Linked DNA regions of Styela clava. The protein of the gene in region 1 purifies or fractionates together with the protein of each later gene. This does not show direct contact. Links are inferred from orthologs where the notes say so. Each region holds a gene or a part of one and is shown in the gene's direction. Other genes may lie near its edges. The genes, in order: MMS19 nucleotide excision repair protein homolog, threonylcarbamoyladenosine tRNA methylthiotransferase-like, DNA polymerase epsilon catalytic subunit A-like and cytosolic iron-sulfur assembly component 2B-like.

Region 1 (7,597 bases):
ATGCGCATTTAGCTAGATTTCTCGTGAATTTGTACACAGCTCTCATCTTCTTATTGTCATATAATATTATGCCCTGTCGCCATTAATTCATTTTGCAACAGAACTAAAAGAACAACTGTCGGAGAAGCTGGAAGAGCTCCTGCCCCGAAATCAGTTGGAAGTTAACGTTGTTATTTCAACAAACATAAATACTGGGAATGTTCCACATTTTACGCCCACAACCGAAGTCCTCGACACAACTTCAAGCACAGTCACCCCAGTTGTTTCAGCAACTTCTACAAAAAGTAATGAAGAAGTTTCAACGTCGAAATCCAATATGACATCAGAAGTAACAGACGCTAATGCATCTTTTCCAAGCACAAGTACGTGAAAATGGAAACTAACAAAAAATTGGTATATTCAAAATAGAAAATATTTTGTTTTTCAATTTAGGTTGCGAACTTCAATTTAACGGAACTTGTTACTGGGGAAGAATCTTGGAACACCGGATAAATTTTACAGAAGCACAACAGTATTGCGAAGACCGAAATTCAACTCTCTCGACATTTCCAAACAATGAGACTTTCCAGAATGTAACAGAATACTTCCGATACAAAATACCTTCACCCGAAATAAATCATTATGCATTTTGGATCGCAGTGGAGATAAATCCAATCGTAGGTGTCGTTTTCATCATTCATAATTTCTTATAGCGTGACCGTATCAACATTTTCATCTTATCTCATTTAGGAGTACGATGTCCCGAAGAACACATACATCCAGTGGAAAAATGAATTATCAACTCCACCCAACAGTTATACCGAGTGGACAAATGTCATTGTGCTAGTTTATCATTCCCAAAAGATAGAATCAGCAATGAGTAATAGACCGCCGAACCATAGAATGTATGGGATAGTTTGCTCTTATCCAAATTAGAAACTGCATGACAGTTTTCTGTTCAAGTGATGATTTTGTATATCAAATTTCAATTCCGAATAACTCAATGATTAAAAATCGTAGAAGTGATACCAGAATATTTTCGATAACGTGGGGTCTTTTGTAAAACAATTTTCTTCTTATTGCTTCTGTTTTATTAGAATACCTAAAACAGCACTGAAAAACTGCATGAAACGTTTTTTGTCGCAAGTAGAGTTTATATTAGCAAAACATTGGGTGAAAACTAGTATCTTTGCGCTCCATGTTACAGAGTGCGTAAGCCTAAAAACAAAACAACGAGTTTACTCTATACCAAATCACTTTCACTATATTATTAAAACAACCTCGTTCTTTTGAAATAAAACCGGTGCCATGCTTTATCGTCCTCGCAAGAAAGGTTCAAATGACTCATTTTATTTAATGTAGCAGTACAGTACTTCCTACATTTTTTCTGTGTGTCTCTCTATTTTAAAACACAAAGTTTGTTTAATACGAGTTTCAGTTATTTTAATTCAGATATACCAAAATGCTAACAAACATTGGACATATAGGCAATATATTTTACAAGTCTTATAAGGTGACAGCACATCTGCATTGCACCCGTAAACTGCACAAGACTTTTGCACCTGTATAATTTCGCACCCGCGGACATAAGAGCCGTATGTAGCAAGTCCGAAATATGTGAGAGCCGCACAATTTTCAAAATTATCAATATTAGAGCTCATTAAATCATTTTGCATTGTAACTGTTAACGTTACATTGATACTGATTTGGGAATGTGCCTTTGTGTATAGTGCGACGCGAAACCTGCGTTTGGGCTGTTGACTGCGACAACATCGGCAATATTTTTTTTACTGATTTAAAATTCCATGCCACAACGATTTTCATACTAAAACATAATTTGTCTTAATCATTGATGAAAATTTCTTCTACTGCCTGATAAATTAAAAAAATTGTTACACTACATTTGGATAATAATAAATTCTAGCGAGAAGGGCCACATAAAAACTCTCGCGAGCCGCGGTTTGCCCATCGTTGCTTTAGACCAGGGTGGTCCAAGGTTGTCCGCTCCGAGGGCCACAAAATCATTTTTGCATTGTTCGCGGGCCACAATAATATCAAGAATAAGTGAACGGTGCACAGCAAACAATTTTATTGTGCAACACACATTGATCAGTATTTGTCATTTATCAAGCTAAAACCTGCAAAAGTCTTCCTATATATAGTGTAAGATTTCAGACTCTTCATAACGAGAAAAGTGCTTCCGCAAATGCAAGTGCTTTCAAACCTCGATAAAATTTTCGAACCAAATCTTAACTTTGTAAAATGCCATTACTCACAAGATTCTAAAATGCCGCTTTAAAATTATATTCTTTTATCACCGACATATCAAGCAAGCATTTGTGATACTTTTTCTCCCACATACAATTGAAAATCTATTTGAATTCGTCAGCTTTCTTTTCAAACACATGCTTACAAAACAAGAGAGCTATGCTCAAATATACGGACACGTAGAACAAGACGAAATATATTATCATCAATTCACCGAAAAGCATAGAGTACCGTATCCTGCACAAAGACGAACAGTGGCTCGGCGGTGTGGCGCATCGGCTAAGCGTTAGGAATACGCTCGCCACCGCATCTCTGATTACGCTTCGTGGGATCGCAGGTTTGAATTCCATGCGGGGATGATCATGTGCGAGAGGATTGCTGGACTCCTCGCCGCCGTAGGGTGGTTCACGGTTACGGCTTCCTCCACCACCAAGTCCATGCTTCCGAAAACGAATAACTGGCTAACTAATCACATACCCAACCTGGGAATGGGAATGTATAGGTTATTAAAGGTTCACGTAAGGTTTTTTATAGTCGTGGATTATAGGCAAAGAAATATTATTAAAGTTCAAATAATTCAATTATATTGTGTTACCTTGTAGGCGCATCAACTGATCTTTAGTAAACTATAGTAGACTATGCGCCATCGAATTTACAGGGTGGCCCAATTAAAAGTGGCCTGAGTATGATACTGAGGAACGAAAGTAAGTTATGTGAATATATAGATTTTTAAAGGTTCAAGTAAGGTTTTTAAAGGACGTGGATTATAGGCAAATAATATATAAGAGGTTGTCGATCACTGGTGTCAGTTTAAATTTATCATGAATGATCCATCAGTTCAAGCATGGTTGTGTAAACTTTGGCTCTTGTGAATGAGGTAACTTAATTGTCATTATGTCTCCCGGTGATCTTCAGTTTAGTTGCAAGAATCAAAAATTAGACCATGTTAAAATTAGCTATCAGTACCTGTTAGCGGCACCTGATCGTATATTTTGATACAAATTATGGTTTCAATTATGTAACTTAAATGTAAATACCAACTCTCCAAAACACTAGCAAAAAAAGCATCCGAAATTTTAAAATAGTAAAGTGTAGAGAGAATTTTCATGGGGTCAAGGGTCGAGAAAACATCCATCGGATTCACTCGTTGCTCCCAATGCCCATGTTGCTTCTTTCATGTTCAGCATTTTATTTGGCTATCTTCAACTAATTTATCATCTTTTTAGAAGTTATTACACCCGTTTTTAGGCTTTGAGCACTCATGGGCCTCGTATTTATTAGGCTATATTGTCAGATTGGTATTTCAGTATTTTGATTGGTAGATTCCAAATCCTTATTTCAGTAATATGGACAAATAATTCATGCTCAACAAAGTAAAAACACCGTCCTGCCGTGTGAAATGACCTTATCAAGCAATGAAAATGGGAAGGACGGGGAGTTTAAAAGTTCTGGCCGGCGATCTCTATCCTATCGTGATCGTTGCGACGAGAAAACGAGAGAAATAGCTTGCTCGATTTCGGGTTATCGTCTGCGCGTTTTGGACGACCATCCGCATACTTCGGTGGGCCTTTTACGCCACTGTGACGTCGGAATGACGTAATTTTTCGGTGACGTAGTCAGGTGGTGGATAGGATTGACATATGCAAAAATTGTTGAGCCAGGCCAACTAGAAGTGGATGCTAAACTATACCAGACCCCATCTGTCAGTCTGTACCGGTACCGTACATGGTTACAAATTCTTTGTCTAATTAATCAGTACCGGTATAGAGTACATGTGATTGTTTTCCAAAATAGGTACCGTACCGGTACGGTACCGTACCGTACGGTACTAAATTAATTATTGAAAGTTCAGAAGTTTGACTTACACTTGGATGCTTTTTTATTACAATTCTATTTTATCCCTGGAATTCAATTTAACAAAAAAAATAAAATGCAAGGGCACAAATCTAAAGTTTTAAACCAGCTATAGTGCAGTAGTGTGAATATTGTTGGCACTGCTGTTCCAGATATTATGGGGCTAAAAGTAAAGTTGATTTCTAACCTACAAGCCTTGGTAAATCGCACTACAGCACTATGCCAATGTCTGAATGTACATACGATTCTTCTGGTAATATTATTTATAACAATTAAATTTTTATATTCAAACTAGTCAACATCAAGATATATATACTGATCAATATAAATAAAAATATTACATTGTTCACTGCTCTGATCATATGAATCATGGAAGAACTTGTACAAAAATATTTAAAGGATGATGAAAATGAGAAGGATTCTTTAGTGAAAGATATTATATTGGCAATTTCAACTGGCTCAGGAAGTATTCTTCAACTTATGGAAACATTGCATCATGATTTAACCAGTACAGATGTAGATGTGAGATTGAAGCCAGTCAACTTACTTGCAGCTGTGCTATCAGACCTACATCCAAGCTGTTTAAAATCGAAAGAATCCGCAGTTATTATTGAGTTTTTATGTCAACGTTTACAAGATCATTTTTCCCTTCAATCTCCCACATTAAAATGTCTTGTAGCTTTAAGTTCTCGTGGTGATCTTCAAGTAGGTGCAGCTGAATCTATTATAAAAATCTTGTTCAAGGAAGTGCATGTTCCATCCTGCATGCAATCTGATAGACGCAATGTGTATGAACTCTTAGCCAATCTATTAGAACATTCTACGACTGAAGTGAGAAATTTAGGTGATGAATTTGTATATGGTGTAATTACAGCAGTTGATGGTGAGCAAGATCCAAGGAATTTGTTGAAAGTTTTCGATCTTTTGTATTCAGTTGTTCGGTCTGGCTTCGATCTGTCAAAATTTGCTGAAGAATTTTTCGAAGTTGTTGGTTGTTATTTTCCAATAGACTTTCATCCCCCCTCAGATCTATCCGAAAATAAAGTTGTTATTACGAATAAAGAGCTTGTCATTGGTTTGCGGAGAGTTTTAACGTCTTCTCTGTTATTTGCTCCGTTTTGTATTCCATTGATGATAGAAAAACTGGAATCAGATGTTCAAAGTGCTAAAATTGATGCAATCCTGACGTTAAAATCTTGCATGAATGTTTATTCTAGTGAAGATATCAAATCACATGTAAAATCTCTCTGGATTTGCATCCGAAAAGAAGTGCTGTCATCCAATTCTAAAGAAATTGAAGAAGCATGCCATGATCTGCTTAAAAGAATTGTTCTCGTTTTGTCCAAAGCACCTGTAGAAGTATCGAAAAAATCAGAGTTAGATGTATTTTTAGAAGATGTAAAAGTGTCGTGTTTACCTCATTTAGTTGACCATTTGCAAGAGGTAATGGCTTGGTCATCATCTAAACTTATGATTTCATGTTCCGAAGCTTCTAAGCGATCTTGCGAAATTATTGTGTCTTCCATGGTTCCAGTTTTGTTAAAATCACAAGATAAAAAAGATATGATGATCGCGGAAAAACGGTTGGCAATGGAAGTTCTTGTAAATGCTGTTAAGTCTACTTCATTGCATGAATTCAAGGATGACATGGGTTCGCACCCTTTGTCCGAGCACAAAAATGATCTAATTGAACTTTTCTGCGGTCGACTTTCTCTGAATGAATTTGTACATTTACGTACCATTGCGCTTGCTGGCGTTGCCGCATTATGTAATTTGGGATTACTAATAACTCCTTCGGAACAGATCACAATTGTTCATAGCCTGATTAACTGTTTAAATAATGAAAAAGATACAGCAATTCTTAACGATTTACACATGACATGTGGATTTTTATCCTCAAAATGGCCTGATGTCGCTATAGCACATTTACTACCAGTTTTAAAAATCTCTCTAACAGGAATATTTTCCATAAATCAGCAAGACAAAACTAAATGTCTTTCAACAATATGCAGTATTTCGACTCGTATTGAAGTAACATCTATAACATGCGATTTGCTTATGGAACAAGTTTTGTCAAGAAACGTGGATGAGAAAAATGTCTCAACGATACTCGCTTGCTTGGATTCATTGTATGTTATTGTGAAAGGAAACGTCAAAGATAAAAGCACAGTGGATCATTTTGCAAATGTACTTGTATTTCCTCTGATTGAGACTTGCGTCAAATTATCTGTTGTACCGTCTCTCCCCGAACAATGCTGCTCTACATGCAGCGATCTTCAGAGTTTTTCTAGTAATTGTATTACGTGGCCAATCATGCAAAAAGCTTGTGAAATTTTAAGAACAATTTGTCAACAATTAGAGCCTGGAAAAATCGCAGATAACATTTGTGTAAATCTGAAAAAAATATTTCTGGATTGTGATCTGGTCTCTCTTGATATCAAAATAGACAAATCTACGTTCAACCCATTTTTATTCACTAAGTTACCACTGCAGACAAGGTTGATTTCTATCCTAACAGCGACGATTTGTGCATTCCATAACAAAGTTTTATTTCCATCCCCTGACACATTCCTGGAAAAACTGCTTCATCTTTGTGGAGAGACAATTGATCAACCATCATATGCTTCCGCTTCAAAATGTATTGCTGGCATCATCAACAAACAAAAAGAGCCATCTACAGCATTTCTTGACAAGGTTTGATAAAATATTTTTTAAAATTATCTCGGAACATTACAATTTTTTGTCGTTGGGTAAAAATTGATGTTTTATAGATGAACATCTTAAAATCAAACAAAACAATATAACTTAATATCACATAATGAATAAGCGTTTGCAGTAATAAGTGGCTTCGTGGTGTGACGCATCATGCTAAGCGTGGGTTCACAAGTCTGAATCCCATGCGGGATGGTTATGTAACGGGGGATTGCTGGACTCCGTAAGGTGGTTCATGTAACCGCAGGCCGGTTACGTCTTCCTCCACCATCAATTTCATGCTTCCGAAAACAAGTAACTGGCTAACTAGTCCTATACTAGACATGAACTGCTGACCGTACAAGAGGCTGTGGTTTGCCCTATGGTTAAGCCGTCTTATCGACTTTCCTCACCCCGGGATAAATATGCAAATTCTATCCTAAGTGATGAACAATGGTTAATAAACTAAAATTATTGTACCAGGTGCTTCAAATCAGTGATTGTTTATTTGACGATTCCGTTTTGGTCGAAAGCAAAGTTGCAATTTTAAGTTTGATCGTTTGGGTGACGAAAGCTCTTGTTATTCGTTCTCATTCCTACACTATGAGATATGCAGACATCCTTTTCCAACTATTTGCCACCGAAAAATGGGGGAAAATGGCAGCTGACAGTTTTGATATTATTTTAAGGTCAGTGCAACTGATTTCTTAAACTTTAATAAGGTATAATACGATCATACACAAACAGACGTAAGTTTCATTTTTGTAGAAGTACTTTGATGGTTTTGTTTTTGGGGGGTTCACTT
Region 2 (8,109 bases), about 300 kb from region 1:
CAAATTGCGTAGCAATATTATTAGTCATTGTCGAATAATAAATATTAACTACTTGATAACACCCAAGTTGGCTAGTTTTGTATGTAGCACATAGCTATAAAACTGTGTTTTAAAGTGATTCTCCATGGAGATGGAGAGCTAAAATCATATTCATTAACAATAAAATGGTAATTGGTTTTATAGTTTTTTTTTACACTATTTGGCAGCTGTGAACACTGTGATTATATATTATACAGTTTGCTGACGTAGGACATTCTCAAGGTTAAAATATGATTATATGTGACCCACGCAAGATCTGGCATTGTTAAATAAACCATGAATGAATCATGGACGAACACATGAAAAAGGAAATTATAATAATTACGCCTTATCACAAGAAACCAGCCTAATTTGCGTCATTCAGTTAATAAATGTATTTAATTACTGTTATTAAATTAATAATGTAAACACCAAACTAAACGATTTATTGTAGTTTACGATAGACATACAAGACATTAGAAATTTGCCGCCAGTAATCGGAAGAATTTGTCAAAAAATTGACAGATTACAATTAAACAAACATGTTTTGTCATATAAATACGAGTGTACGCCCATCAAAACATACCCATAAATATTTAAACAGTATTATATTATTAGATTGCAACAACGTTTAATCAATGTGACATTTATATGTAAGTAAAGATAGAGGGTAGAATTATATACAATTATACATTAATAATACAACGGGTCAGAGTTATAATATTACAAATTGCCACATATTCGAACAGGATTTTTATATTCATCCCAGGAGATACACAAGATAAGACAGCTTAATTAATCATATGGCGAACCCTGGTGTGAAATATTAAAATATTTATTTCTTACATCTTTAGAAAAACATTCTTGGCAGAACCTGAAACAATTTGACACTTCAGGTAAAAACCGATAGCAGCTATTCAACAATTTCATTGAGAAGGCCAATATCTGAATAGTTTAGTATACTGGTTCTCAACAAGTGGGCCATTGCCCACTGCTGGGCCACAGTAACATATGGGTTGATGGGCCATAAACCTTTTTTTGCTACTGAGTGGTAATTTTCATTTCAACTATTAAAGTGGAAAAGTTCATTTTTTGGAAAGAATTTTTTGTTTTCCTTGTAGTTTTCTACTTTCATGAGAAAGTTGATTGGCGCAGAATTTTTGTGCAACTAAAATGGGCCACAAGAGAAAAAAGATTGAGAACCACTGGTTTGGTATTTATTAAAAATCCCATCTCTGGTATTCATTTTGTTTCCAAATAGTATAAACAGATACCTTTCACCCAAAAATGAATCATATTTTATCACAAAAAGTCATTTGAACAAATAATTTTGTGAAAATTTTACACTACTGTATAACATCTAACAGCTTGTGGCACAACTAATCCAGTGATCAGTATATTCAAAAACATTGTCAAATGATCTGAATATTAAGATTAAATTGATAATAAGTTTGAATCTCAGGATCGAGTCCAATGCCAACCACATCACCCAGGGTGTAATACAGGGGTCGGCAACCTACGGCTCGCGGAGTAATATATTCCGGCCCGCGACGCTTCACTAAATTATAGTAACAAAGCAGCTGTTTTGACGATTATATTCTTTACGTAACAGAATTTATTGTGAGACATGTGTAGACTAATATATATTATTACCTATATATACATAAAGTACGGTATATATACATAATTCACAATTACTCGTTTAATTAACCTATAGTTTAATTATAATTAGACAAATGGCAACAAAACACAAAGGGTTCAATAACGCCGAAAATATAAGAGCAAATTGTTTTGGAATACAATTAGGCAATAAATCTATATTTTATTCGAGAGACGTATCATTGCTTGATTTTTATTATAAAAAGTGTCATCGGTTCGGTTTTCAACTTTCGGCCCGCCAATGACTTGCAACAATTAATTTTGGCCTGCGAGCGACAAAAGGTTGCCGACCCCTGGTGTAATAAATCGGGCAATGGCAATGCCGAATCGTGAAAATTCAGAGTACAGGTAGCTCATTACACTAAGTGCCTGCTTGCGAGGAGCCTTGTTTGGAGCGGAAAGCGTCAAAATAATTAGTATGTCTACAAATTCAAACCTTGAAATGGATTCACAGCTTCCACAGTGAGGAGATTTATCTGATTGCGAAGAATTTGACAGCGGTCTTTGCCGACGATGATAATGCTGCTGACGGGAATCTCCAATCTTCAATTTAGAAAAGATATCTTCGACAAAATTTTGCGCATATGAATCGTGTGAATCATCAATGCTGCTCCTATGAATTCTGAATAATATATAATATTATTTTTAAAAAAAATTTTGAAGAAAAATTCCAGAACAAAGTCTACTTTTTCTCAAAACGAGTCAAATTATATTAGTATCTATTCAGTTGATTCTGATTGTATATTGCAAAGAAATGATGCAGAAATCAACATTTTATGCAGAATAACTAATAATAGGATGTGAAAAAATATTTTCAAAATTTAATTTAAATTGTGATTATTCAAGTTAATCAAATACATACGGAAAGCTTCAAATACAGTACAATATAACTCACTTTCTATTAATTGGGGGATGGAAAACCACGTCATGTTGCACAGGCACCAGTAAAGAAATAGTTATTCAGTTAGCCTACTCGTTTTCAGATAAATGGACTTGGAAGTGGAGGAAACCATAATCAGCCAGCGGTTATGTTAAAACCCTATGACAGGATTGTGCAACATTTTCGTCGGTGGGCCATATAACCATCTTTAGACATCTAGCCGAGCCACACAAAAAATTTTAATGTTTGATGGGAAAAATCTGAGTGTTGACAAGAGCCACACTAAATGAGTGAAAGTGGTGACTCCTTTACGGCCCATGGGCCGGGGCCACGGCCCATCGAATTGGGCCTCGGCCCATCAGGCTATGGGCCGCGGCCCATCAAGTTGTGTAACGGGACTATTCACCTGGCTAACACAGACAGTCCCCGAACTAATAATAGAACTATAATGTGAAAAATCTGAACTAAATTTTGTCCTAACCCTAACCTGGTACACATACTACAGGAGTGTTCTTTTCTGTATTTTAGTATTTTGCTTAATTTTTATATAAAGGCTTATCGTAAAAAAAAATTTGGCGGCATCCCGCGATTTTTTTTGGTTCGAATATTGACAATTTTGTGAAAATTGAGAATTTTGGTAAGATGATTGAATTTTTTCTGATAGGGCCGCGGCCCATAGCTTGATGGGCCACGGCCCATGTGGCCCAATGAGATGGGACGCGGCCCCGGCCCACGGGCCGTAGAGGAGTCACCACCCCTGTAGCACTAAATGGCTTGGCAAGCCAGGCTGTGGCTCTCGAGCCACCTGTTGCACACCCCTGTCCTGTGACATTGAGGAGTCCGACAATCCTCTAAAACATAATTATCATTTGAAAATTAACCCCCGACCGATTAAAACTCATATAAAGTAATAAGAACTTTTATGGCAAGTATGTTCATAATGATTGACACGATGTGACGAACAGCGAGCTCATTCAACAGTAATACTCGAAACATTAACTGACCTGATACAGAGTTGAGGAGAAAACTTGTTTTTTCCATTGTCACAGTTTTCTTTTTCAAATTCACTTATTCCACAATTAATGATTGCACTTGCTTCATTATTAGCCCATTCCTCAAACTTTTGTTGTTTTGCAATTTTACGAAGTTCGACTCTTGATGAAGCAAATATTTCTTCAGTTAAATTGGTACATTCTTTAAATGTCTCAAGAGAACTGGATATAAGATGTTTTGAAAATTTATCAGCCCACGGCAAAAGGTGATGAACCAACGCATGGTGTTCTGTGTATTTCTCTAACGCTTCACAAAGCACATAACCGAAAAACTTTTGAGTGAAATTGTCATAAGTTCCAGCGAGACGAATAGCTGCTTTTGTTATATCTTCACACCATACTGAAATGGCATCTTCTCGTCTCATGTCACTGAAGGCTTGCAAAACAACCTTCTCCGCACATGAGTCGGAGTATTGCAAAATATTTCCATGAAAAGGCAACATAATTACTATTTGAGCCATGAGCGTTAAATTAAATCTGCTATTTATAAGTTTCTACGTCATAATAAAAAGTTCTATGTGAAAATGTAAAAGAAAATGTTCATTTTGATTACACTATATTCCGATATATAAAATAAACGATTCCTTCTTTAATTTAATAGGCAATGTATATTCAAATTTAATTCATTTATTAATTTATTGACATAGTTTATTTTGATATCTCTGACAAAACTGCAAAAGCACACAAAAATATGCATAAACCGTATCAAGGTAGATTATACAGAATTTTGGGCCCACAAGTTTTCGGACTACGATGGCACACAAGAATAAGATGGTATTATAAAAATGCAACTGAATTTTTGCGACATGTAAACCTGCACAATACGATACCGGTATCGTTGAAAATGACATTGATTACCGGTATGTGACTTCTCGTTTTCAAGTTAGTGAGTCACAACAAACAGCAAAATTCACATTGCAGCCTTGAGTACTATACTTTTTAGGAAACATTGTCTGAATTCGATACCGGTACCGGTTACACCTAAGTTAACTAATTCAAAGCATTCCTTACTTTCGGTGATAACAAAAAATTACCAGATTGGCTATAACTAGTATAGATGAACCAACGACTACGGTAACATACTGACATACGAGATGAACTCTGCCGTTCTGCATTCACTAACAAAAGCCAATCCGCCGACTAATTTTCGTTCGCTGACGTAAAAAGTGACCAAAATAATCCTGTGAACGATGGCGAATCTACGGTGACATCTAACGAGGAGACGGGAAGGGTTATTATATGTGTTTTCCATTTGCCGTGTTAGTTGTAACAGCGTGGTTTTTCTTTCCCGTGGTGTCAGACATCGGACTTCTTCTTTACTGATAAACTAATGTTTACAAAAGTGTACAATGGTGATTTGCAGCGACAATAATGTACTTGAGGACATAGAAGATGTTTCCCCAGATACCAGCCGCCTGTACGCTAATAAATCCAAGGTTGTTCCTAAAATTACAAATCATCGACTGAAAATTGAAAAATCAAATGCTGAAAGGATTGAAAATTTAAATGGAAGGTTAGTTGAAAATTTATTCGAATTGCTTCAATCCCACAATGTGGAAATAGCATTCCATAGGCTACAGGAGTGGTGACTCTTCTACGGCCCATGGGCCGGGGCCACGGCCCATCTAATTTGGCCACATTAGAAAAAATTCAATTATCCTACCAAATTTTTACAAAATTGTCAATATTCGAACCGAAAAAAATCGCGAGATGCCACCAAATTTTTTTCTTACGATAAGCCTTTATATAAAAATAAAGCAAAATACCAAGCAACAGAAAAAAATACTCCTGTAGTATGTGTACTAAGTTAGGGTTAGGACAAATTTTTCTCAGGTTTTTCACATTATAGTACATTATATTATGAGTTCGGGGACTGACTGTGTTAACCAAGTGAATAGTCCCTTTACACAACTTGATGGGCCGCGGCCCATGGGCCGTAGAGGAGTCACCACTTCCACTCTCCATAGGGCCCTAGGGACCAAATTAAAATGTGAAATGATTGCTCTGTTTTGGAGGCGCAGTTCTTACCACTTCATGGCAGCTCCTGTCACGAACGAACCGCGGCAGCTCTTGCCATGGTTTTATAGCGCTATTCAGTATTCAGTAATCAGTATTAACGGTATATTCACAAATTAATGTACCAGACTTTAATTGATCATGTGGAATTATATCTACTTAAACTCTAACCCTAACCCCAAATCCATCAAAACTGTATCCATAAGAAAAACGTTCCAACTTACCCAATATTTGTCACCATAAGGGACAGCCGTGTCTTTACGGCCCACCTGCCGTGGTTACGGCAGCAAAATTTTACCTGCCATTGGTTTTCAATTTGCTGCCGCGGTAACGGCAGCTCGACATTGGTTTGTGGCAGCTAAAATGTCAGTCGCCATAGAATTGGCCGTAGCGGCCATGGTATGGAAATACCGCCATGGTTTTGCGGCAGCTGCAGACGCCACAGAATACTTAAAACTGCACTTGCTGTTTTGGTTCAGATTTAAGCCACTACCGTATAAGATTATTATTTATTAGAGTGTAAATAACATTAATAAATGCTGTAATTAAAAATTGAAATATAAAATAGTGTTTCACATTCATTCAAATAATAGATACAACATTATTACAGCGATATTCACTAAAAATAAAATTCTGGGAATCTTTTATATTCACATTGTATCTGTCACAAACCGAAGAAATAAATAGACTTATATTTTTCGCTGCACTTTATAAGACTGTATAACGGAGTATGAACATATTTTTGTTGACTATATAAATATACTTCTTAGCGCATGGGTGTGCAACAAGTGGGCCACAACCAGTTGTGGGATTCAAATTTTTTGTCAGCCGCTTCTTTCATGAAACCCGTATTTTTCAGCTGGTTCTGTTACAAACAGAACATTGACAGTAATAGGGGTGAAAATACATGAACGTGAAATGTTTATTGCTCTTGTCGCTGCATTAAATCTTTCTCCTTTTTGCCAAGTGCGTTTATTGGCACAAGGCTGAGCAATAGGTGCCTTTTCTTCTCTTGCCTTTCCCGCATGGAAAAACTAAATTTTATGTGCGGCGCGGCTAGATGTCTGAAGTTGATTATGTTATGGCCCATCAACAAAAAATGTTGCACACCCCTGTCTTAGTGTACATGAATCTGATGCCCACTACCTCACCAGCATGCTATAAGTTGGGTAGAGAATGACAAATTCAAAACATTTCGGTTTTTCAAAATTATATTAGTTTCTCACACAGGCTTCTTGTGCAGAGCCTTGTTCACAGAAAATAATAAATATGTCGTATCAAAAATTTAAAATATTCTCTTTGCAGCATCATTCCTGGCACCCAGAGAATTTACATGCAAACATGGGGTTGTTCTCATAATTCTTCAGACTCTGAATACATGGCTGGACAACTTGCAGCATTCGGATATCAAATATCAGGTATCAAGTAGAATTGAAAACTTGAAAACTGTTTTAAATAAAGTTTGTTCGCAGTTCACAACTTGGACAAGAGTAGACCTATATCTTGTTTTAAGAACAATTTTGATACATAAGATTAAGAAGTTTATTTGTGTATCCAATTTGTTCGCTTATTGGACACAAAAGTGGACCTATGTATCGTTTTCTTAAATCATTGTTGTTGTAGCTGGTTGATTGTTTTTGCAGAAAAAACTTTTCAGGGTAAATAATGAACAAATCAATTTAAAATCGTCAGTAGGCTACTTGAAGATAAAAAGAAGTCGCTAGAAGAATATTATTTTTATTGTTTCCAATTTCCTCTGAGTTCCATGGAACCCCATGTTACGCCTAATATTTTGCACTTTTTATTCACTTGTGCTGACCACCTCCGCCACACTTGTCCACCAATTTTTTCCGTAAATTAGATTCTTCTGCTTATCAGGTCTTGAGGTACGGTACCAATACGCAACCTTCGTGTCCATTTGTATATTGCTCTCTACTTTTTAAAATAATTGTTTCCCTGATTAAGGAATCTCTTAATCACTAGTTACAAATTATTTTTTTGATGTTTTTGTCTATTATATCTGTAGTTTTGTTATCAAATGAATGGATGTAATTCACGGATATTTTTATAAGCATCTTCGAATGCTAGTTCTATTTTGTATTTATGAATATAACCTAATATTTTCAGATGATTGTCAGAATTCTGATTTATGGCTTCTAAATAGTTGTACAGTGAAAAATCCAGCTGAAGATCATTTCAGAAATATGATCAAGTAAGATTAATAATAATAACAATATTTTAAAAAGACACAATTTTTACCACTGCTTTAAAACAGTTCTTCAATGCATCTAATAATAAAAGCTCAATCCTGACAAGAAGTCTTTGTTTAATATGAGCTAATCTGGTCTTCATATATTTACCGTACTCAAATTTGTCTCGAAACCCTGTTGCCAGAACTGAGTATGCACCTATAATATATATTGCACCCAATGAACACAAAATATTTTAGGGTTAGTTACTGCAGCCAAAATAATGCTCAAAATA
Region 3 (7,696 bases), on another chromosome or scaffold:
TGTTTTGCGCTCTTTGCGGTGTTTCGCGCTGTATTCAGTAAGTAGTAAGACCGAGTCAATGATTATACAAAGGCTATCTCAACACATGCAATCAGCTTAAATTTATTTCCATCATCACATCATTGAACATCCGACACTTGATATAAAAGAAAAATATTTTCAAATCATTCATGAGCGAATACCTATTAAACAATGTAACTGAATGTCAAGATGTAACAACACTACTTGAGAAAGTATTCAAAAGATCTGAGCAAATGTATACGCAAGTACTGCAGCCAAAATAATAACAACAAGATATCAAATAGGACACATGAAATACGAAACCAATTGAAGAAACACAGCAGCTAGAACGAAGATTAAGATATATGTGATTACAGTCAAGTTTCCGTACTCCTGAAATATGCGTACCAAGAAAGGAGGACACCGGAACGTAATATGTGTACCACGTTAGGGTTAGGCCAAAATGTCCTTATTTTAGTTCTATTACGAGTTCAGGGACTAACCAAGTGAGTTTCGTAGTATTTGTACCTAAAAGTATGGCCTAACCAGGTACACATACTATGTTCCGTTGTCCGTCATCTTGGTACACGTATTTCTGGAGTACCCAAGTTTTTTTCTCAATAATCCATAGGAATAAAAATTATTATTTTAATTACTAATGTGAATAAATACTGAATATCAAGTTATATTAATAGTGGTATTGATGCTTTTTAAGGCTTTGGTAGTGGTTCTTAGCTGGAGTAAAAACGCAATTTAGGTTCTATCACGTGGACATTGCTACATATTTCTTTTTCTTTGCTGCTTTTCAATCAACTGGAGCACCGATGGATTCCCTGCCCCGCGACCTGCAAAATATGCATCTTTTAAACTGAAAATCTGTTGTCGATTCATTCAATGTATAGGGTGAGGCATAGCTGAAGATTTTGAAGAGGGGGGGGTCGGGGTTTATAATAGTCCCGATGGTCTAACTCTAAGAGGTGTTTCACGCCACGAAAAATTTATATGTATGATATAGTATTTGAACAATTTGAAGACTACTATCTCACACTTAAAGGGGGGTCTGACAGATGTTTGGTCTAATATGGTATATCACATGTTGAAGGTACCAGCATTTGAAGCCCTTCATATGCTGGAGAAGCAATGAAATGTTGTTGATTTTTAAATATCACTACAGAATGTGTTGCATGTAGCCGTATAGCATTTATTTTGTTAAAAAATTCTTGAGCTAATCACCTGTTGTAGACTTTCAGTGTGAAAAAAAAATTTATGAAATTTTGGCTAATCTACTGCAGTCTTTTGTCTCCAAATTTAAATGCTCAATAGGAAATAGATCTAATAAGAAAATACAAATGAATTATTATCCAAAACAATTCTTTGTGCTATACCTGTGCTTAATATTTAACAGACATTTTTATCAAGCCATTGAGTTAAACATGTATAGATATGAATGTTGGTAGCAACGATACAATATTCAGTGCTTATTACAATTTTTTTTCCCTGTACTTTTCTCGTGAACTCATTGAGGTGGGAAATGATACTTTTACTTCACGTGCTTGCTATAATGCTGAATCTGTGATGTACTTATTTCTCGTCCCTATTATTCCATTTTTATCCCGGTTAATGCCCAATAAAAAAAAATGCTTTTTGCAAAAATCTTTCCATTGGACATGTCCGGCTCCAACCAATACATGACCTCTCAAAATCCTAAATTGCCCTTAATAATAACTTCCATAATACCATTGAATTGTCGACTCATTTCTTTATCTTATGTATATTTTATATATTTATATTTATTCTCGCTTGCATCCACCTACGGTACTATTTTATGCCATGATAGTCTTATATACAGCATATAAACAAGGGAGCCTAGATGACTTTAATCGGTCTTGCACACCGATCCGCACAAAGCAATAATTAATCACTGTCATTACAGCTGAAATTTTTTTCGTTATTGTATTATGTTTATAATAGTGTTGACATTGTTTTGTAGCAATGAATCTCTCTCACATGTTGGTCTGTTAGTTTACATGGCTGTTTCAAATGTTTTTTAGACATATCTTCATAAATTCCCTCTAGATGTGTTTCCATGCCAAAACCCCATCTGGTGACAGCAAATCATTCTTCAAAAATGAGTTTCGAGACGTCTGCAATTTTTTTTATTTTAGTTACGGTATTTTGAAATAAATTGCCCACAACAATTGAACCTTGTCTACCATCTAAACATGTATGTGTTTATATATATAAGTATAACAGCCACTTAGACAAGGTATTATTTGAAACAAAAATGCGAATACCCCACAAAACAAATTAAAATTAATCAATTATAACGGTTCCAGGAGAAATATTAATGCATTCAATGAACGTGATGGATTTTGCAGTCGCAAAAAAGTTATTGCTATTGATCACAAATCAATTCCTTAAAAATACTCGACAAACTAATTCAAAATTTTTTGGCACATCCAAAATTATAAATATATCTATGTTGAGGCCATGTTTAGATAATAGCAATAATAGTTATCCAATTTATGTGAAAAAAGTTATTAGTACCAGCCTGAAATCAAGCAATATGGATTATCATGGCAAACGTAAAATACCTCTTATGTTGTAATATGCAGCTGGTGACTTCGTATACAATGACAGAATGGAAAAAAGTTATCAAGATCGGTGGAACTCCATCATAAAACACTTATTAGTTGAAGTTAAAATATGTGTGTTTAATCTATGTTTTTCATACGGACGTCACAATTTCAGGGTGGTATCGCTCACCACATTTCTTTTTTTTGCTGACAGTTTTAGTTGCTCCACCAAAAATTTTCATTGATATAGTGTAAGCTAATTCTGATTTTTGAGATAAAGCATCACTCATCATTCAATTTATATTCTTGCTCACTGCTTTGATCACACAGCATAAATCCTCACACTGTAACTTTTTTTATAATCCTTTCCTTCCTGAAAATATACATATCTCATATCAAAATTTACTGACTTGACAAATCATTACTGTATTGGGTACCAATAAAAACATTTACAACTTACTCCTTTTATGCTGAACATTCGTAGCACAAAGCGGCTCTCTACTACATCTACTCATGGGAGCTTTAAAGTGAATTTAAAATCTTACCGTCAATGTGCTTTCGAGTGCTGGACCGGTCCTAACGCCTTCCCACTCAATTGATTGTTCTTCTATTTTATAATAAGTATAAGTATAAGTTTATTTCGACTCCATAATCAGCAATAGACGATAAAAAAATAGATAAAAACAAAAGTAAAAGTAACTGATTATAGAATCGGGAAAGCGAACAAAACCTAGAGTAAGGTTTGAAACGTACAGATTTTAGATGGAAAGGTATTGAAAAAAGAAGTAGTACGTGTTCGCTCCCAAAAGTAAAAAAAACTAATTAAGGCACGCACGCACACACACAATCATCGAGACATGATACTGTCGGAAGCGAAAAAAGCGAGACTTAAAAGTAAAAAGAAAGGAAAATATACGAACAAATAAAAAAAAAAAATGAATAAATTCTTTTGCCACACCAAATTAATAATTTTATGAGGATTGCCAAATTGGATACCGAATTAGTCAACAAGAGTAATGTATTGTGGATAGAAAAGTATTACTCAAAAGATATCGTCAAGCTGATTATAATTGGAGTCACCTAATGCCAAATTGCCCAATCAGAATTGCCAAGTTGGATGTATGAAGAGGTGGGCTAGACCTGCTTCACTCATCAAATAGAAGCCACAACAAGCCAAATAACGTCCAAATTATTGTAAATACTATTAATCAATAACAGTACCGGTAATCATAAAATTGTTGTCATTGTTTTGTTATCTGCATTCTATGAGTTCTATAGTCAAGTATATCGTGTAATATTCCATGTGCACAACTAACTTGAATATTTATAAGTCACTCACTTAATCTTGACGCGAGACAGCTCGTCAGAGCACAGAAAAACGCAGAACGTCGCACGATGGTTTTCGAAGCAATAATCTGTCAGCATTAAGTCGAGCGTGACGGCGAATTCAACATCGGGACCAAATTTCCGGAGGTACACGGGGTTGGTTTAACCGTAAATATATGGTTCAACTCTATATTTTCTTTCCCCTTTATATATCCCTCTTGCTGTTGAAACATACCGGTAGAAGGTAGCGATAGAATAATTCGAATAGAAAATAAATTCAGATTCGGTATGCATTTGGACGACTAATTAAAAATTAAACGCGGGTCAACCGGCAACACGGTTTGTGAGCACGGATGTGGAAATGCGCTCGTTTTCGCGGTGATGCTGGCAATATTTCCCAAATTTAGCTATGACTCAGTGGTAATTTGGTCTTCCGGGATTTTTAGTTTGCTTAAGACAATAAAAAAATGTTTTTGAAATTATAGATATGCCTCAATCTTTTTAATAAATTTCGTTAGGTCTATTTTGAAATTTAACATTTCTCGCTCCATTTTTCCAAATATTATTTTCCGTGTAGGAACAATAATCGTTTATATTTTTAGTCTTCTCCCGCTGTTCCTGGTTTCCCGCTTTTTTCGTAGCGGTTTTGGCTTTTCGTTTTATTAGTTAGGAAAGCCGCTAATGGTTATTATTTACCATTAATACAGTAATAGCTTGTTCTAAGAGTTAATACACGATAAGTGTATTATAGGATGTGAATTGGTAGTGAAAAATATAGGTTGAAATAGCTTTAACTGACCAAAATGCCGCTACAAAACACCGGAAAATTAGTGAAGGAGAAAGACTGGTCTAAAAACGAAGATGGTGCCGCAAAAAGGTTTGTTTCTTTCAATCATTCAAAGATTTCGAAGTATTTAGGGCCTAGCGAAGTAAACGTCATAACTCCTTGAAATAACACCAAACTGAAAATTTGATGTAAGCAATCAGAAATGTGATGTTAAATTTTGATGTTTTCAAAAAGTCTGTCTAGCATGGAATGAAATTATTGACAAGACGTTTTCAGTTTGAATAAAATCTACTCAATAAAGCTGGTATATTCATTCTATGCCAAACAGGGTGTAGCATTCCATTGCAGAAAACAATAAAAAAAACTTGAGGTTTGAGCAGCTCCAGCATTTATTTCAGTACAGCACACTATACAGATCGAGCGACATTGTCTCGTTTCAGAGAAACCCATTTTGCAGATGATCAGAGACCCCTTCTTCGGGGGACGTCTGGACACTCATAATCCGTAAAAATACAGTAAAATGAAGTTGTGCACAAACTACAAAGAATCGCAATCTGAAAACGTCATCAATTCCTCCGGTAAAAAATAATCCGATTTACCAAAGTAAAAAATTTTCTACCGTGGCATTTGAGAGTTTGGAGCAAAAAGCGGCAGATTTGGTCACGTTACGTCTGCGATTAATTTAGATTATCATTGAGGCAAGCATGGCGCAATATGACTCATCTGCCATCGTAGCAGACGCCCCTCGTTTGTGAGACACATGAAGTTTTTGTTTTATTGACAGGGCATTCGGATAGTGTGCCATATTGTATTTTCACATCATATTTTTGTTTAGCGTCATTTAAGCACTTGCAATGTGTACTTCGTTAGACTCGGTATTAAAACAATGAAACAAGCACACTACTCATCTCTGGAATGGGGGCATTTGGCCCGATTCAGATTTGTAGGATAATGTAAATCAATCCTCCTAGTTCATAACGCTATATATATTACAAAAAATTTAAAATTTGTTTGATTTGAGTAATTACTGCGCCAGTAGATATTTCTTAGTCGAAATAAACAAAACAATACCAAGTTTGCAAGAAACGGTCAAGAAATAACGGCGATATTGGCATTTCAGTACCGCCCGCCTGAGAGGCCAATTTCTCTACATGAGGTTAGCAATTCGCTGACTTTGCGTGTGACTTTTGCTTCTATTCCCAGACTGGAACAAGCGAAATTATCTGAAGAGATGGACGAGAGATATGGCTATAAGAAATTATCTCTTCCGTGTGAGAAGCTGGGATGGCTGATAAACATGTGTGAAGCAGATATCTTGGATGAAGATAAGAAAATGATCAGTGCAGTGGATTTCTATTTCTTACAGGTAAGATATATATTATGAACCAGTGGTTTCTAAGTTGTTGGGGAGCAGAAGGGGAGTTTTTTTTTGCTTCAATGAAAGTAGTGCCCTTAATAATAGGATGCAATTTGCTATTTCAAGTGGTGTTTTTGTGTTTATAAATTGCATGTTATTAATAGCGAAATAATGTTAAAAAAATTCCAGAGTTGGTTTTTGTTCGCCTCTCTTCGTTTGATGTCTCATTTCAAACAACCCCTAATCGCTGACTGTTTAAATAAAAGCTAAGTCACCTTACTTGTTAATATCAGCCAGAGCACTTGTGCAGTTATTTTGTTCAAGATACCAACGCACTCTTCATTTTAACACTGGCCTGTGATATGTTTTTCACTTCCATATTTTTGGAGCCCAGACCACTGGATAATCAAAATTTTAAATCTTTTATCATACTCAAAGATTAAACTAATTGAGTGCTTTAATTCAAAAGGGCGAAACTTACTAAAGTTTTTTTGAGAAAATGAGGAAAATGTACATTTTGGCTTTTAAACAACTTTTTACTAAAATTCTTTTGTGAATATCACTTCTCAAAAATGACCAACTAGCTCAAAATGAAGCTTTTTTTTGTGTTGTTTTCATTCAAAATATTTCCAAAATTTTAATATTTTATATTTTATCTCAACCCTTATTGTAGCAGTATATTATAAGCTTTTTTTGTGCAGGTGACATACCTTTAAAGCAGGAGTGTGCAACATTTTTTGTCGGGGGCCATATAACCAACTTCTGACATCTAGCCGGGCCATTCAAAAAATTCAATATCTTTCGGGTACATAATGAATTAAAAATTTCTCACCACAAAAAGGCTATATCGCTCAGTCTTCAGTAATAAAGGCAAAAAGACGAAAGACTCAAATTTATGGATTTTAACCCCTGTGTGCGCTTTTTTAAACATGAACTGTCAGGTTAGAATTTGATGCTTAGTGGGAAAATATCTGAGTGTTGACAAGGGCCCCACTTATTGTCTTGGCGGGCCGGGTTGTGGCCCGCGGGCCGCCTGTTGCACACCCCTGCTTTAAAGCATATTAATTTGAATTGTAATGATTTTCATAAAATTAATACCTCAATGTATAATTGGTTCCGTGTATGCATAATGTATAATTTTTCATTGTCGGTTGAGGCTTCAGGGGTGGGGGCGGTGTAATGAGTGAATACACTCCTATTTGGCCTCTTCTTGTATTGAATCTCTCAAATTTTATTTAACAGGATGACGGTGAACGATTCAAAGTCTCTGTTCCTTTCAAGCCATATTTTTACGTTTTGACAAAACGTGGGACAGAAAAAGAAGTCATTTCATTTCTGCAGCGAAAATTCCCGAAAATTTTTTCCATCGAAATTAAGAAAAAAGAAGATTTGGATCTACAGAATCATTTAGTTGGATTAAAGCAGACGTATTTAAAATTATCATTCATGCACGTCGACGATTTATCAAGCGTGAGGCAAATTATCCAACGGGCGGTGAACCGTAACAAACAGCGTGAAAAAGGACATTCTGCGTATGTTGAAATGCTTACTAGCACCCTCGCTGGAGAAAAAGTCTCCGAAACTTCAAGTGATAGATCTAAAACGCTGGTTGACCAGTTGGATAACTTACTTGACATACGCGAACACGAT
Region 4 (6,603 bases), on another chromosome or scaffold:
TGAGTTGAAGCAAGATTTCCATTATTTGAAGCAAATATATGGGATATTTTGATAAGACAGCTAATTTTTATGTTCTATCATAACAAATAAGCCATTTAATCTGATTCTCCACTGTATACCCAAGCTAATGCTATTTTGGCACTACCCAACCCGCTTCCCACCCTTACATATTTACAACATCACCTAATTCATTTCTTACCCCTCACATGTGGAGGTCTACACTCAACCCGCCTCATGGTGCCCCTCAATCTCTCACCCAACCCACCTCCCAGCGTCTATTATGTCTCACCCTACCCGCTTGCCTACACCCAACCCACTTTCTGGTGTCCCATCCGAGATGCCCGCCTACACCCAACCCGCTTCCTAGCGTCTCCCTACGTCTGACCATACCTGCCTATAACTAACCCGCCTTCCAGAGTCTCCATACGTCTGCCCATACCATCAATGCGTCACCTACCTAAGTCCGGCCAACTTGCTAACATGCCCCCATGTCTGATGATAGCTGCCTTCTTGTCCTATCAGCCCCCTCCTAGCTTTTTTGTGATTTATATCTGGTCGAATTATGCCAACGAAGTTAGACGGCGTCAACGTAGGGAAGCAATAAATTATATTTGTCTACATCTAACAATAAGTGCAACTTTTTTGATATCCGAATACCATAACTAGTAGCTTAAAAATACCATTATAACGATTACATTTAACCGGCCGACGGCAGTTCAACGTTCAAATATAATTCTACCCACAATTTCGACCAGGTTTACGAGCTACAGCAAGGCTGGAGAGAACCACCGTTACGGCCAACAAGTCAATAAATCTGCCAAGATTTATATGCCCCACACCCCACCGATGAATGTTAGCATAGATTTAAAAATTACCATCTGGCGACCCAAGGGATGTTATGAAACGGAAACCACAGGAGTGGAACGTAACTGTATGAACGTATGAAACTGATACTGGTCCGAGACGGTTCGTGAAAGCGGCATCTCGGGTAAAATCACTGCAATCGTTTTTAGCGTACTTAAGTTTCTGTTTTCTTAACACAGGCAACCATTATCAAAGCATTCAGATATGTTCGACTGCATTCAAAAATTGTTAATTTAGTTATATTAAAAAATCGGTACTCCCGAAGTATGTGAACTAAGATGGCGGACACCAGAACATAGTAGCCTACGTGTACCAGGTTAGGTTTAGGCCATAATTTTATCCCAATTTTAGTGCTATTACGAGTTCGCGGAATAGCAAAGTGACACCCGTAGTATTATTACGTGAAATTATGGCCTAACCCTAACCTGGTACGCATACTGGGTTAGGCCTACGGTGTCCGCTATTCGGGAGTACCAAAAGTACAATTTTGAATGTATTGACAACGTTACAGATAACAAGTAGGTAACGATAATAAAACTTTTAAAATCGAGTAAGGGAGGGAAAGCGAACACGTACCATTTCTTTTGACAACATCTTTTAATCTAAAATCTGTACGTTTTGAACTTAACTTAATAAGGTTGTGTTCGCTTTCCTTATTCTGTAATCAGTTTTATTCATTTTTTTTTTCATCTTTGTTTTATCGTCTCTTATGCTGTTTTTGAGGTCAAAATAAACTTATATTTTTATACGCGTCTTCTTACTTGATTGTACTTTCCCAATTAATGTAGCATGATTGTTGCATGCTATTAATAATAACTAAATGCCATAATTGTTGTCGAATATGACCGCAGCGGCAAAAGTGACAGAGGGACTAAAACTGGCGAACAACACGCAAAACTACCAAAAGAGGGAACGTTTACAACCGTGTTTGAATATCTGTCTGATCCACGGCATAAATTCCAACTGTCACTTCATTGTTAACGTATTGTTGATTTGTAATTGTTACGGAAATAAACAAGGAAATCGATGCCCGGGGAAACATCCTTTAGCTCTACAGCAGGGGTCGGCAACCTCCGGCCCGCGAAGTAATATAATCCGGCCAGCGACACTTCACCCAATTATAGTAACAAAACAGTTGTTTTGGCGATTATATTCTTTACGTAACAGAATTTATTGTGAGACACGTGTAGACTAAATTATATTATAATCCAACAAGCATAAATTTACAATTACTCGTTTAATAATTTAATTACAATTAGACAAATGGCAACAAAACGCAGAAAAGTTCAAGCTAAGTGCAAAGGGTTCGATGGCGCCGAAAATATTCAATGGAATTTTTTGAGATGCAATGCAATGAGGAAATAAATCTATATTCTAGTGATGGATGCGTTCGTTCGGTTTCTAAAAATATGGGCTGCCCGACAATCACTTGCAACTCTAACTTTTTGTCCCCTGAGCGACAAAAGGTTGCCGACCCCTGCTCTACAGCTTAGGCCAGGGGTCACCAAACTTTTTTGACCGCGGGCCGGGTATGACTCAAACTGTGTTGAAACGGGCCGGATGAATATTCTTGTCAATGCAATATAATAAATTCACAAAAGTTGGGAAATCCATTCAACAATATATCTTCTACATTTCTGAAGACTTGATTCAAATTCTATGTATATCGCAGAATATAGATCAGGAACATCCTAGGAAAACAAATATGAAAGATTTCAATATCTAAACAACTATCCTGAGTTTAGCTGGTATCAAAACGTTTCTGTCGTGAATTAGGAATTTTCAAAATCCGCTTTTTCGCGCCAAAAAATATACGCATCACGTTTGCTAAGTACCGTTATGCAGTGTTAGAAAACCGCGTACCGGTAGAGAAATTTAGCCTATTATGTCACAGCTATTCCTAGACTAATTTTTCCTTACTACTATTAAAACTACAACTCCTAAGGACGCAAATGATGATTGACTTATTTGATTCATACTTAAATTTCCGAAACACAACCAAAAACTAACGAATAGCATTTAAAGTCGCAAAAACGAAATATTGTTTACAACCACGACTGAAAATCTATCAGGGTGAAAAAAGTGTCTGAGCGGAAGCGAAAAGAAATATTATTACGTCACGTTTTTGCATCTTGCAGATTGGCCAATGTTACGAATTAAACAAGGAAGACGATGCTCGGGAAAATCTCCCTTGGAAAAATATTTAGCAATGTTTGCGTGTTATTGCGGGCCGGACCGGCCCGCGGGCCGTAGTTTGGTGACCCCTGGCTTAGGCCTTTGGACAGGGCTGTGCAACCTTTTTCGTCTAGCGTGCCAAAATCGGTTAAATTTAATGACAACATTTTTCCGCCGCGTGCCGGCCAAGATTAAAAACAATGCTTTGCTACTTTCAAAGCAAAAATACACAATAATAAACTATTTAAACATGTACAGACAGATTAACTATTAGTGTAAGTATCTTCCCGACAAATAGATTTAATTACTTTTCTTATTCTATCTAAGTGAGACTTTTGCTGCTTCATTACCGCTGATAGAGATTTCACATTGGGTTTATATTTTGTAACTTTCAAAGAAATACACGAACTACTGGTTTCATCTTTCAGGCTACTCCTGTTGCGAGACTTAATAAGGTTTATAACTGAGAACAGAGATTCACAAGCATATGTCAGTATGTAGATGAAAACATGGAGAGTAGTGCAGTTGCAAAGTTTTTAAGACACGAAAAATTCGCGAATGGCATCCCGATTTCCGCACTTCTCTCTTGTATTCGCTTCCCTTATCGCTTATATATATTTCTTTCAAAATTAATTTATAACAGTAACTATACCCGATATGAGCTGTACAACTTCACAAATCAAGCAGAAATGACGAAAAAGGGCGACACATAATGAACTATATTACGTGAGAATATAGCCAGGTGAACCCTGCGCCCCAAGGCCTCGCTCGCGTGCCGAATAAATGCACTCGCGTGCCAAGTTTGGCACGCGTGCCAGGGGTTGCCCACCCCTGCCTTAGTATTATACCTTCCGATTATACACCCACTACAGCACTAGAAGTACTTTAGGTACGAAACTACACTAGACCCGAAAATAATGTGGTTCTGTTATTTTAATAATTTTTACATAATACTGTCGGATAGGACAGTAGGATCTACATATTTATCCCGGGGGTGAGCCGGTGAGGAAAGACAGTACGACTGCTTAAACCAGTCATTTGTTTTCAGATGAATACACTTAATTCTGCCAAGAATTTTAACCTTTTCGCCTCGCCGCACACAAAGGTCAAATTCTACTAGCTTCACAGCGGTGATACCGAGGAGTCGAGCAATCCTCGCGTACATAGTAACCCCGCATAAGATTCAAACCTGCAAAGCCACGCATTGTAATCAGATGTGTGGTGCTGTGGTACCGGTATTCCTGTATTCCTAACGCTTATCATGGTGCACAACACTGTCGAGCCGCTGTAATATCTGAATTGAGCAGTACAGCAATACACAATGAGATAATTTATTCTGTACTCAGCCATGGGGATTAAGATTCTTTACTTAGTTCTTGGTTGTACTTGTATTTGCTACAAAAACACCATAATTTTACTGAAATGAAATTCCGTTAATGACATTCAAAATTTGTTTTCTCTATGTTATACAGTTATAACAGTAAAAAGCATGAACTTCTCATCTAAAGACAACGCTAATCCACTAGTTCATGAATCTCAGACTCCGAGATATCGGGAAGAAAACCAAGATGACGACATTCATGATGAAATCGATGCCAGAGAAATTTTTGATTTGATTCGTGATATCAATGATCCAGAGCATCCACTTACTTTGGAAGACTTGAGAGTTGTGAATGAAAAAGACATTTTTGTTGATGATAAAGCTAGTTCCGTCATTGTTTCATTTACTCCAACAATACCTCATTGCAGCATGGCTACATTAATTGGACTAGCAATCAGAGTACAACTTCTAAGAGCTTTACCTTCAAGGTTCAAAGTTGAAATAAAAATTGCGAAAGGAACACATCAATCAGAGACTGCAGTTAATAAACAACTAGCAGACAAAGAAAGAGTAGCGGCAGCTCTTGAAAACAATCATTTATTGGGTGTTGTTAATCAATGTTTGACCGTGAAAAACTAACAAAATAGTTGTTTAACAGAATTGTCTGACATTTCTTTCAATATGTATATACATATTTCATGCGTGTTGGAATGGGGAAGAAGTTGTTCCATGTTTTCGATTGTGCGGTGTATGTGTGGTGTGGAGCACTTTAGTATTTTTTTGGTTCGATGCATGGCGGATAACAACACCTCTTTTCCAGACCGTTGGAACGGGCAGAGGCATATTCATGTAAACACGTGAAAAACAACTTTGCAGAATAATTTTTTTTTTTTTTAATTGAACAGTTTTGACAGTTAATCCTGTGACTAAATATGATTGTAGAATTTTAGATCAAAATGTGTGAAACTGAATAGGTATCAAAGCATGACTGCCAATTTACCACCATGCTTCATTTTACATGTTTTATTAATTCAGCAGACAGGAAAAATTAAGCGACTGATGTAGTGGATATTTATGTTACTTGTATATTTTCCAGCAGTGAAACGGTCATAAAAGCTTTATGTAGTCTCATGGTCTTGTTTATGGTTGTCCATAAGAACACTTCTTCATTATCCTGCCGAACGTGTTTATACCATGATTTATATCTCTGATATTATTCTCACAAATGCAATGCCGTCGCCATGTTGCGGATTTTTTTGAGTCAAGTTTATGCAATTGCTTTTCAAGCTTTTGGTAGATAGATTTCAACAATAGTAGATCTATAATTGTAGTCACAATGCCATGCCAGTTATAATAACTGCTAGGTTACTCATAGCATATTAAAATTTACAAAATACTTTCACATAAAAGTGCTCATATGATGATGATGATTGCTGGTTTAAATGTAAACGAGTAATTTATTCAATACTTATTAATTTTTACCTTAATGAGGAACTTAAATAGTTCGTTAGTACTTCAAGCTAATATTATCTGTATATTTTTTTGCCTAGATTTGGAACTATACAATATGCTCATAACATAGCTGAAACATTGAGAATTATTAGCAGGACATAATGAATATAACCAACTCCTTTCACAAAAAATGTCAAACAATTGTTCAAATAATGTTAGTCCTAATATCACAACATTCTTCGCTCGTAAGTAGTGCTTTTTTATTTGTGTTCTGATTTTTTTACCATTCATAATGTGACGAATTTTAGTTACTTTGTCTCCTAAGATGAAATATTGATATTCAAATGTGAATATTTAGTTGAAGATGGGTATAAAAACATCTGTCTTATACTATTCTACTATATTCGATAATTTCAGAAAAGCAGGAATTTAAATTAAATTGCATGTATGTTAAAAAATTTATTTCTTTATTTCAGACATATCGACAGCCGAAGCAGTTGCAGTTTGTTTTGAAGGATTGACGACATTGCTTCTCATTTTCATATTCCTAAACGATTGTTTTCATTTTAAACGTGAATCATCAACCTCATCAAGACTGCAAAGTATTCTTATTATACAGGTACACTTCACGCCATAGATTGCTTGTTATATGTCAAAATAATATATGATTTACCGGTATTATGTATGTTTGTCTGTATTAAATTTGTGCATCATTAGCTGTGACCTAATATACACATAAAGGATATTTTGCTTAAAGAATAATTTTTGGTTAGCGACATAAATTGAGATTA

The links.
Region 2: the proteins of MMS19 nucleotide excision repair protein homolog (region 1) and threonylcarbamoyladenosine tRNA methylthiotransferase-like purify together in Homo sapiens (affinity purification with mass spectrometry; 4 studies listed by BioGRID and IntAct, counting the BioPlex papers as one, with this or other methods). This does not show direct contact. The link is inferred for Styela clava from reciprocal best matches to the Homo sapiens genes MMS19 and CDKAL1.
Region 3: the proteins of MMS19 nucleotide excision repair protein homolog (region 1) and DNA polymerase epsilon catalytic subunit A-like purify together in Homo sapiens (affinity purification with western blotting; 3 studies listed by BioGRID and IntAct, with this or other methods). This does not show direct contact. The link is inferred for Styela clava from reciprocal best matches to the Homo sapiens genes MMS19 and POLE.
Region 4: the proteins of MMS19 nucleotide excision repair protein homolog (region 1) and cytosolic iron-sulfur assembly component 2B-like purify together in Homo sapiens (affinity purification with western blotting; 11 studies listed by BioGRID and IntAct, counting the BioPlex papers as one, with this or other methods). This does not show direct contact. The link is inferred for Styela clava from reciprocal best matches to the Homo sapiens genes MMS19 and CIAO2B.

What each region holds. Positions count from the first base shown.
Region 1 is NC_135262.1:13,141,938-13,149,534, forward strand, and holds the start of MMS19 nucleotide excision repair protein homolog, read left to right. Parts: upstream 1-4,399; 5' UTR 4,400-4,470; coding exon 4,471-6,795; intron 6,796-7,275; coding exon 7,276-7,481; intron 7,482-7,597. Other genes in the region: uncharacterized protein LOC120332922, read left to right, coding at 102-362, 433-656, 730-915. UniProt on the Homo sapiens protein: Key component of the cytosolic iron-sulfur protein assembly (CIA) complex, a multiprotein complex that mediates the incorporation of iron-sulfur cluster into apoproteins specifically involved in DNA metabolism and genomic integrity.
Region 2 is NC_135262.1:13,444,325-13,452,433, forward strand, and holds the start of threonylcarbamoyladenosine tRNA methylthiotransferase-like, read left to right. Parts: upstream 1-4,803; 5' UTR 4,804-4,958; coding exon 4,959-5,122; intron 5,123-6,930; coding exon 6,931-7,043; intron 7,044-7,752; coding exon 7,753-7,837; intron 7,838-8,109. Other genes in the region: uncharacterized protein LOC120332139, read right to left, coding at 2,114-2,299, 3,562-4,070. UniProt on the Homo sapiens protein: Catalyzes the methylthiolation of N6-threonylcarbamoyladenosine (t(6)A), leading to the formation of 2-methylthio-N6-threonylcarbamoyladenosine (ms(2)t(6)A) at position 37 in tRNAs that read codons beginning with adenine.
Region 3 is NC_135254.1:1,499,281-1,506,976, forward strand, and holds the start of DNA polymerase epsilon catalytic subunit A-like, read left to right. Parts: upstream 1-4,523; 5' UTR 4,524-4,705; coding exon 4,706-4,779; intron 4,780-5,892; coding exon 5,893-6,055; intron 6,056-7,288; coding exon 7,289-7,696. UniProt on the Homo sapiens protein: Catalytic component of the DNA polymerase epsilon complex. Participates in chromosomal DNA replication.
Region 4 is NC_135255.1:15,933,775-15,940,377, reverse strand, and holds cytosolic iron-sulfur assembly component 2B-like, read left to right. Parts: upstream 1-4,489; 5' UTR 4,490-4,528; coding exon 4,529-4,999; 3' UTR 5,000-5,911; downstream 5,912-6,603. Other genes in the region: organic solute transporter subunit alpha-like, read left to right, coding at 6,003-6,057, 6,289-6,431.